2 linked regions of the Danio rerio genome follow. The protein of the gene in region 2 interacts with the protein of the main gene of each other region in a biochemical or structural test. Links are inferred from orthologs where the notes say so. Each region holds a gene or a part of one and is shown on either strand. Other genes may lie near its edges.

Region 1 (4,188 bases), on a different chromosome or scaffold from region 2:
CACCAGTTTCAATGGACAGTTAATTTGTACGTTTTGGCTAAATACAAAGTTCATTCTTAATGCATTTTACAAAAAAAACATAGCAGCAACCTAAATGCAAATTTTATCAAAAAGTCATCTATTTTAACAAATGCATCTTTTTAGCACAATTTTCAAAAGTTTCTTAATTTAATAAGACAAAAACCTATGAGATGGGTCAAATTGACCAAAATGAACAACTGAAAAAAATCAACTTAACCAATTTCCAAGCCCCACTTATATTATTGTACTTGTTTTAAAGGGAGTTTATACAACTTTCCTCTTTTGAACGTAAAAAAAATTATGCTTTGAAAAATGCTAGGTGCTGGAAACTGTAGGCTTCCATAGTATTTTTGTCATACTATGGAAGTTATTAGGTCCCATCAACCAGCATTCTTCAAACTCTCATCTTATTTTGTGTTCAGTGCAAACATTTAAAGGCACATGAGGGAGAATAAAAAAAGGTAATTTTCATTTTGGGGTGAACTATACCTTTAAACCAACTCTACAGACTTGATCTTTCGAATTTGTATCTTAAAAGTAGTTTAATTGTATCTTGAAGGTTTAAATATTTATATTAGACAGAGTAAGTGTACATTTTTATTGTTTTTTGTTTTCGTAATGCATACATCATTTTAAATGTCATGACTTTTCTTACTAAATTATATTTAAGTTAGATCAATACACTGCTTATTAAAATTTACAGAAAGCCATAAATATTTCCAAAAACTGCCGACATAAAGATAATAAAAATGACCTTTTATAGTGCAAAAGAAAACTTTACTTACTGTCCTTCAAGGTTGCCATGTTCCTGACCTGCCCACTGCAAAAGAAAATTAATAAGTGTTAATCTCATCAACAAATAAACAATATAATACCTCAGTCAGGACAATAATGCATCAGTAAATTTGACTTCTATTGAATGACACAGAATGCATTGCAGACACGGGAAAACAACATACCACTACAGTTAACATTTCCTGACACGATAGCATTTATTTCATTTCAACTACTTAATAAACAAACATATAAAAAGGTTTTTAATGCATATGTAGTAGTTATTACAGCTATGAAAACGTGTAAATGTCAAGTCTGGCGCTGTCATTAGGCTTAACGTTAAGCAAAGCGCGGCCTAAAGATCAGTGCGTCCTTGCTCCGCTTCAGCTGCGTTTCACTGCTCAATTAGAAACAGCTTGAGTTCTTTATGTATGCACGCAAGATAAATGCTTATTCCAGCAAAAACATGTTTTAATATAAATGAGTAAATTCTTACCATTGTGGGAGGAACACCGCCGCGCTGGTCCTGGCGAACATGTTCACTTCAATGAAGGTCAGAGCAGCCGGTCTGCGCAGGCGCAAATAAAAGCGCAGAAACGCGTACTAGTGTGTAATCTCGCGGCATCAGAGGTACACACCAATCCGTGACGAAAAACGCATATTTCAAAACGAGGAATTCGCGTCAGAACGCAAGGAAGAGGGAAAGGACTTGTACATTGGAAGAGTTGTTATTTTTACAGTACTTATTGTGATCTTTTTTAGTTTTTGAAATGGGGAAAGCGGATTTCTTAACCCCTAAAGCGATCGCGAACAGAATCAAAGCCAAAGGCCTTCAGAAGCTCCGCTGGTATTGTCAGATGTGTCAGAAACAATGCAGAGATGAAGTAAGTTTATGTGATTGTGTCGTGTTCTTTAGACACACTAATTTTATTTATTAACTTGTTTTCTTAAATTCTTAAACCTAAAAACCTTAATTATAGGTTTTATAATACTGCTTTTAGCCTTTATGTACAGTATTTTAGCCACTGTCTTAAAGGGATAGTTCCCCCCAAAATTAAATATAACTCTACTGACTCACCCTCAAGCTATTATAAACCTTTAACAGTTCATTCTTCTGTTAAACACGAAAAAAGATATTTTGAAGAAAGCTGAAAATCTTTAGCCATAGATTTCCTTAACGTTAGTAGAAAAACACTATGAATTTCAATGGTTGCATGTTTTCTTTCTTGCTTTAAAATATGTTTTTTGTTTTCAACAGAAAAAAGATACTCAAACAGGCGTGGAACAAGTGAAGGGACATTAAACATTAAAGATTTTTCATTTTGGGCTGTAATATCTCTTTAAAACGTAGAAATAGCTTTGTTTGATCAGTTTCTGTGGTCCATACCTTGGCAACATTTTGAGGAGAACATTTGAGGTCTCAGCCTTATGTTATCTAGAAAGAATTTTGGCATTACTGATTGCATCTCAAAATAGAGAGCTACTTACCGTTTTACTGGAAATCATCAACATATAAAACAAATTTGCTCTTATCTTTTTGTCATTTAAATTTAAATACATTTATTTACTCTATTGTGCCATTTGTAATAACCTGCTAAGCATTTTTAAAAACCCATAGAGAGAGAGAGAGAGAGAGAGAGAGAGAAAGAGAGAGACAGATCATTTCTCAATAAAATGAGAGATTTTTAAAATAAATGTAAATAATTATTAAATTAAAATATGAAAGTAAAAGTGAGTAATACCACTTTTAAGAAAATACAAATATATTCAAATTAGGAATGGAAAATATTGATTGGTCTAAATATATTTATTTAATTTTAAGAAAAAAAGTTCAAGCAATTTTTTTAAACATGTTCTTCGTGGATCAAAGACTTCTGCTATACATTTCAGTCAAAATTGCCTTTAGGTCAGCAGATATGCTACTTTTTTCTTAGGCTGCTAAATCTTTCCTTTTAGTCATTTTGCTCACATTGCCAATTTTAATTAGATGTCATTATTACACTTGCTGAGGATCAATATATCTGTCCTTCACAAACACGAGCATGTGTGGCAATCTCAGATATTAATCCAGATATTTTAATTTAATTCACAATGAAGAAACAAATTAGCCAGAGATCAGTTATCATGATTTAAAGAAAAATTGTGATGTCTCAAATAATCATAACATAAGATGTTTTGAGTGAGGTACAAAGAACAGAGCCTATGACTTCTCTTTGATTATATAAATATTGCGATCTAACATGATCTCTCTTGACTGCAGAACGGGTTTAAATGTCACTGCATGTCTGAGTCTCATCAGAGACAGCTGCTGTTAGCTTCTGAGAACCCCAACCAGTTCTTGAGCTACTTTTCAGAGTAAGTAAACACACTATTTATCCATATCCATCAATTTATCCAGCTATCATTGAAATAGAGTTTAATTCTAAATTCTGAATTTACAGCGAGTTCAAAACTGACTTCTTAGAACTGCTCCGAAGACGCTTTGGTAAGTTATTGCATTGTTATTATTTATATAAACTTCTTTATTTTGTGCATGTTTTGTCAGTTTAGGCTAAGATGGCTTGTGTTTGTTCTTTCAGGGACCAAACGAGTTCACAATAACATTGTGTATAACGAGTACATCAGTCATCGAGAACACGTTCATATGAATGCTACACAGTGGGAGACCCTCACCGACTTCACCAAATGGCTTGGGAGAGAAGGCAAGCATCTTAAATACTGTATTTAAAAAAAAGCAGTGTCCCATGTACTGTATGTGTAACATTACAGTGGAGATCTAAATTGTACTTTATTTTAGTATTAAAACACAAATCCACTCTTTTTGGATAATTTTTACAAGTCAACTAGAGTTAAACAACCTTGTTTTACCATTTTCTATCCATTTAACTCATCTCCAGGTCTGGTGAGAACACTTTTAGCTTAGCTTAGCATAGATCATTGAATCTGATTAGACCATTAGCATCAAAAAAGACCAAAGAGTTTTGATAATTTTACTTTTTCAAGCTCAACTCTTCTGTTGTTACGTTGTGTACTACGGCTGACAGAAAATTACATGTTGCAATTTTTTTATATTTATAATTCTGTCATTTTTGACAGGTGCTAATGGTCTAATCCGATTCAATGATCTATGCTAAGCTAAGCTAAAAGTGCTTGGTTTTACTGTTTCACTGACTTTGCAAGATTGTGAGATGATCTAAAGTGACCAAAACCCTCAGACATAGCCATAGCAAGTGAAGCTAGTCGATACAAAGTCAACTCATTTAAGTCTTCCAAAAATAGACAAATAGTCACAAAAAAGACAAATTTACGAGAGGACAGCATATGCCTAAAACGCATTCTACAATCATTGCTTTGCCATTTAAAAAAATCTGTTGCATTAACATAGTATAGCCA
Region 2 (4,033 bases):
GGCCCAACGTATGTGTGCTGTCTGGGTGTGGATCTCTGAAGCTGGATTATCCGTTGAATTTGTTTCTTCCTCTGACTGCTTTCTCCATACCAACAACTACAACTGGTCTTCAGCTGCGCTCCCCGGTCTGCTGTATTCTCCAGTCCAGAGTTTCACTGCCCAGTGTTTGAATTTTAATTTATATATTTATTTATATATTTATATATTTATTTACATTTTAATGACTTCTTGTTTACTTTTCTTGTTTGTTTACCCTTTAGTTTAATGTATGTATGTATGTAGTATATATATATATATATATATATATATATATATATATATATATATATATATATATATATATAAAAGTTTAGATTTTATATATATATATATATATATATATATATATATATATATATATATATATATATATAATCTAAACTTTATTTTATACTGTTTGCTTATAATTAGATACTGTATGTGTACTGTATGTATTAAATGTTGTGAAATATATAATAAAAAGTTTGATTATTAATTTGTGTGGCATTTTTACACTTTAAAGTTTACACATGCAGTTGTTAAATTAAATAGGAAAAATAAATGAACAATATTTCATATTAAGCAATACTGGAAAAGAATTGCTGCTTATCCTGTATTCTAGGCCCAAAAAATATTAATACAAGTAGTAAGAACGCCGCCTCGCGGTTGCTGAATGTCGCACGACAACGTTGCTACAGCCTTCTCACGTCTTACATTTCTACGTTGTGACAATGTAGCGAGCACGTAAGCGGCAACGTTGCCTTTAAAAAAATACAACGTTGTGCGGACATCGCTACAACGTAAATGTGTTTGTTGGGTACGGGGTCGTCAAATCGTTCGTTAAAGCTGATTCATCTACAGAGTTCTGTATTATCATTTTGAACAAAAATAAGTATTACTGAATAACAAACAAATATTTATTAAATAAAAATAAAAAATAATAATATAAACAAAATTACCATATTTTCACATCAGAGTCAAGCGCGTTCTGTTTCGGAACTATTTTCATAGTGACGGTTCCTACACGGTCTGCTCTTAATGTAACACTGCTAGTCTAACCTCTCACAAGCTGCAGTATAACCTTTATATAAGGTAGCTCCGAATATCGCTACGCTCATATTTTAGTACAATTTAATGCACTCGACAACAATATCAAAAGTACGTCTACTCATCCTCATTAACAATATGTTCTTTGTAGATATCTGCTGCTCTTTGCCCCCTGAGCTGATCAGAAAACTGCAAGGTGACGCTATGAAGAAACTGTAAACTTACATGTCAGGATCTAGTGAGTTCATTTAACGTCTTATACGGAATGAATTACTTTCTTAACAACAAATTAAGTAGTATTTCTGTTTATCTTCTCGATTAACTCTGAAGGTTAATAATAAACGACGAGAAAGTGGCTTTCTGAGTTTGTATGGTCACGCCCACTTTAATATTTCTACGTTACTCGGTCAAGAATCCTAAAGCTTTCATTCAAGCCCAAACAAAACTGTTAATCATTGTCCAGACTATTTTGTTCTTGCCTGTATCGTAGTTCTGTCTTAAAATAGTCTATAAAATAGTTTTGTATTTGTGTAGAATGACAGATAATTTAAAAACTATCATTGCACATAGGAATTATTGTTTTTTTAAGCACTTTGAATAAAATTGTCTTGTTTTTCAGAACAGCATCCTTGATAGAGTACCATGCAGGGACGATCATGGACCAGGTCACATTTAGAAGTGACACCGTTCTGTCTGATGTCCATCTGCTGCTACCAAACACTCGCCATCTCATGAAGAGACTCAACGGTGTGGGACAGCCTGGTAAGAAAAGCCTAAGACACATAAGCATCTTATTGGTTATATGCAGAATTAATAGTTAGTGTTTACGGCATGTTTTTTTTTATATATATATATTTTTTTATGTTATTGACCCCTAAATATGATCATACTACTCAACCAAACGACCCCCAACTTGCACCAGAAAGTCACAGTTTGAGCAAGTACTTAGCCTTTGTTGCTGTAATTAAAATGATAGTTCACCCAAAAATAAAAAATTCTGTCATTTACTCTTCCTCCATTTGTTTCAGACATTATTCTGTTTAACCCTTACTAAGATATATTGAAGAATTTTGTAAAGCATCAGCTACTGATGTCTTCCAAACTATATTTTGTTCCTACTGTTAATGTCAATGGTTGCTGGTTTTCATCATTCTTCAGAATATTTTGTCTTGTGTTCATTCATGAATGTTTAATTCAGGCCTGTATTGGCTAATGAATCCAATGGAATTCCCGGTGGGCCGGTCCATTTTTTGGCTGGGGTTTATTTATTTATTTATTTGACCATAGCCTCACTCCTTTTAATCATTATTTTGCCGCAGCTCCACTCTTTTTATATATTTTCTCGCAGCCCCGTGAGTTAAGTGCAGCCTGCAGGTTAACGATGACGTAACTATCACTCGACCCCAAATAGCGGCACCTTAGTGAATATAAGAATTCGAATAATTAATATTAATGAATATTACACCTGTTTGATATAAATCAGATGATTCACTGCATTAATAAATCTGACATAACTTGATCTGAAATCTAAAAAGTAGAGAAAAAGATTCAGATCAGATGGCAGTGCAATATTAATTTTTTATTCCAAATGCAGCAGTGTAACAGCATCTTGTGGTCCAGTGGTCAGCATGTTGCGTTACGGCGTCACTGACCTGAGTTCGAACCTCACCTGGGTAATTTTTTATTTTATTTTTTCATTTTTAGTGTTAAGTCATATAATACTGTTTTTGTTACTTATATAGGTGTACATATTTTATTTTTATTTTTTTGTGTGACCACCGTTACAAAGGACTGGATATCTATAAAGAATTTTGCACAGAATATATATTCAGAAATTGCAGGAAAGGACATTGTGATGTTTTAAAGAATAGTGTTGGAGATTTAGCTACCCTTTAATGTTCTCATATTTATGAAAAAAATGTGAAGTTCTAAAACAGCTGTTTCCTTGAAAAAGATGTGATAGTGTCATTAGAAACTGAATTGGAAATTACGTTATTTTAATATAGTTATTTGTGAACTGAGGTGGGCCGGTCTAAGGCTTGAAACTCCAGGGCTAAAAAAGAATCCCACTCTGGCCCTGGTTTAATTCCACTTGAGTGTTGTTGTTTTTTTTTTGTGAACTTGTATGTTTCCCAACCATTCTTTTATATAGATGCTGCATGTAGATTTCTGTTTCTTAAACAACCATGTCTAAATGCGCCATTTTCTTGGATGACAATGCAAAGATTTAAATTGTGAAAGAATAAGCATATTCACAAATGAATTGGCCACCACTTGACCTGAAACCCATTGGATGTATTTGAAATGCACTGGAGGAAATTTTGCCTCAGAGTCAGACAGCCAAGTTACTTTTTATATCTGTAGAAAATCTGGAAAATGCAATAAACCTTATGATGTTGCACAAGTTTGTTCAAGCAAAGGGTGTAGAATTAGCATGGATAGAGGAGGCGTGTCCCCACCAATATCCACAGATTTTTAAAATATCCCCACCAATAATTGAATCACCTCCAAAATAAAGTAATGCTTTGTTGAAATTTACCAGTGAGGCATACTGTGCAAGACTCAGGTGAGACATGGACATAAGCAGCTACATTGCAAAGAAAAGTGTCAGTCAGTTGAAGTCAACTTCACTTTAAGTCTACCATTATAGTAACCATGGAGATAAGATAAAGTCTGCCCACAGGGTGTCCGTGGGGTTAAATTCTTACATTTAAAAAAAACAAAATTGTAGGCCTTAGAAAGTTTTAAATTCACTGAAATATTGTCTTGTAAGTCTTCAATCCTTTTAAACGGGCCTTAATTTTCTTTTATTTGTGTAAAGCTAAGCTACCCAATCGCTCCAACACGCATCAAATCTCCAACATCTCAATAAAACGTTTAGCAAAACTATATTCATAACTAATTCTATAGCAGACTGTTATAATATAATGCATACATTTAGGTTTTTTTTTAATTTATGTTGGAAAAA

The links.
Region 1: of the proteins of mettl22 (region 2) and kin, one has a biochemical effect on the other in vitro, tested with the Homo sapiens proteins (2 studies listed by BioGRID). The link is inferred for Danio rerio from reciprocal best matches to the Homo sapiens genes METTL22 and KIN.

The regions. Positions count from the first base shown.
Region 1 is NC_133179.1:25,832,369-25,836,556, forward strand, and holds the start of kin (DNA/RNA-binding protein KIN17), read left to right. Parts: upstream 1-1,379; 5' UTR 1,380-1,565; coding exon 1,566-1,679; intron 1,680-3,055; coding exon 3,056-3,150; intron 3,151-3,236; coding exon 3,237-3,280; intron 3,281-3,374; coding exon 3,375-3,497; intron 3,498-4,188. UniProt on the Homo sapiens protein: Involved in DNA replication and the cellular response to DNA damage. May participate in DNA replication factories and create a bridge between DNA replication and repair mediated by high molecular weight complexes.
Region 2 is NC_133178.1:26,655,289-26,659,321, reverse strand, and holds the start of mettl22 (methyltransferase-like protein 22), read left to right. Parts: upstream 1-1,227; 5' UTR 1,228-1,303; intron 1,304-1,684; 5' UTR 1,685-1,721; coding exon 1,722-1,827; intron 1,828-4,033. UniProt on the Homo sapiens protein: Protein N-lysine methyltransferase. Trimethylates KIN at Lys-135 (in vitro).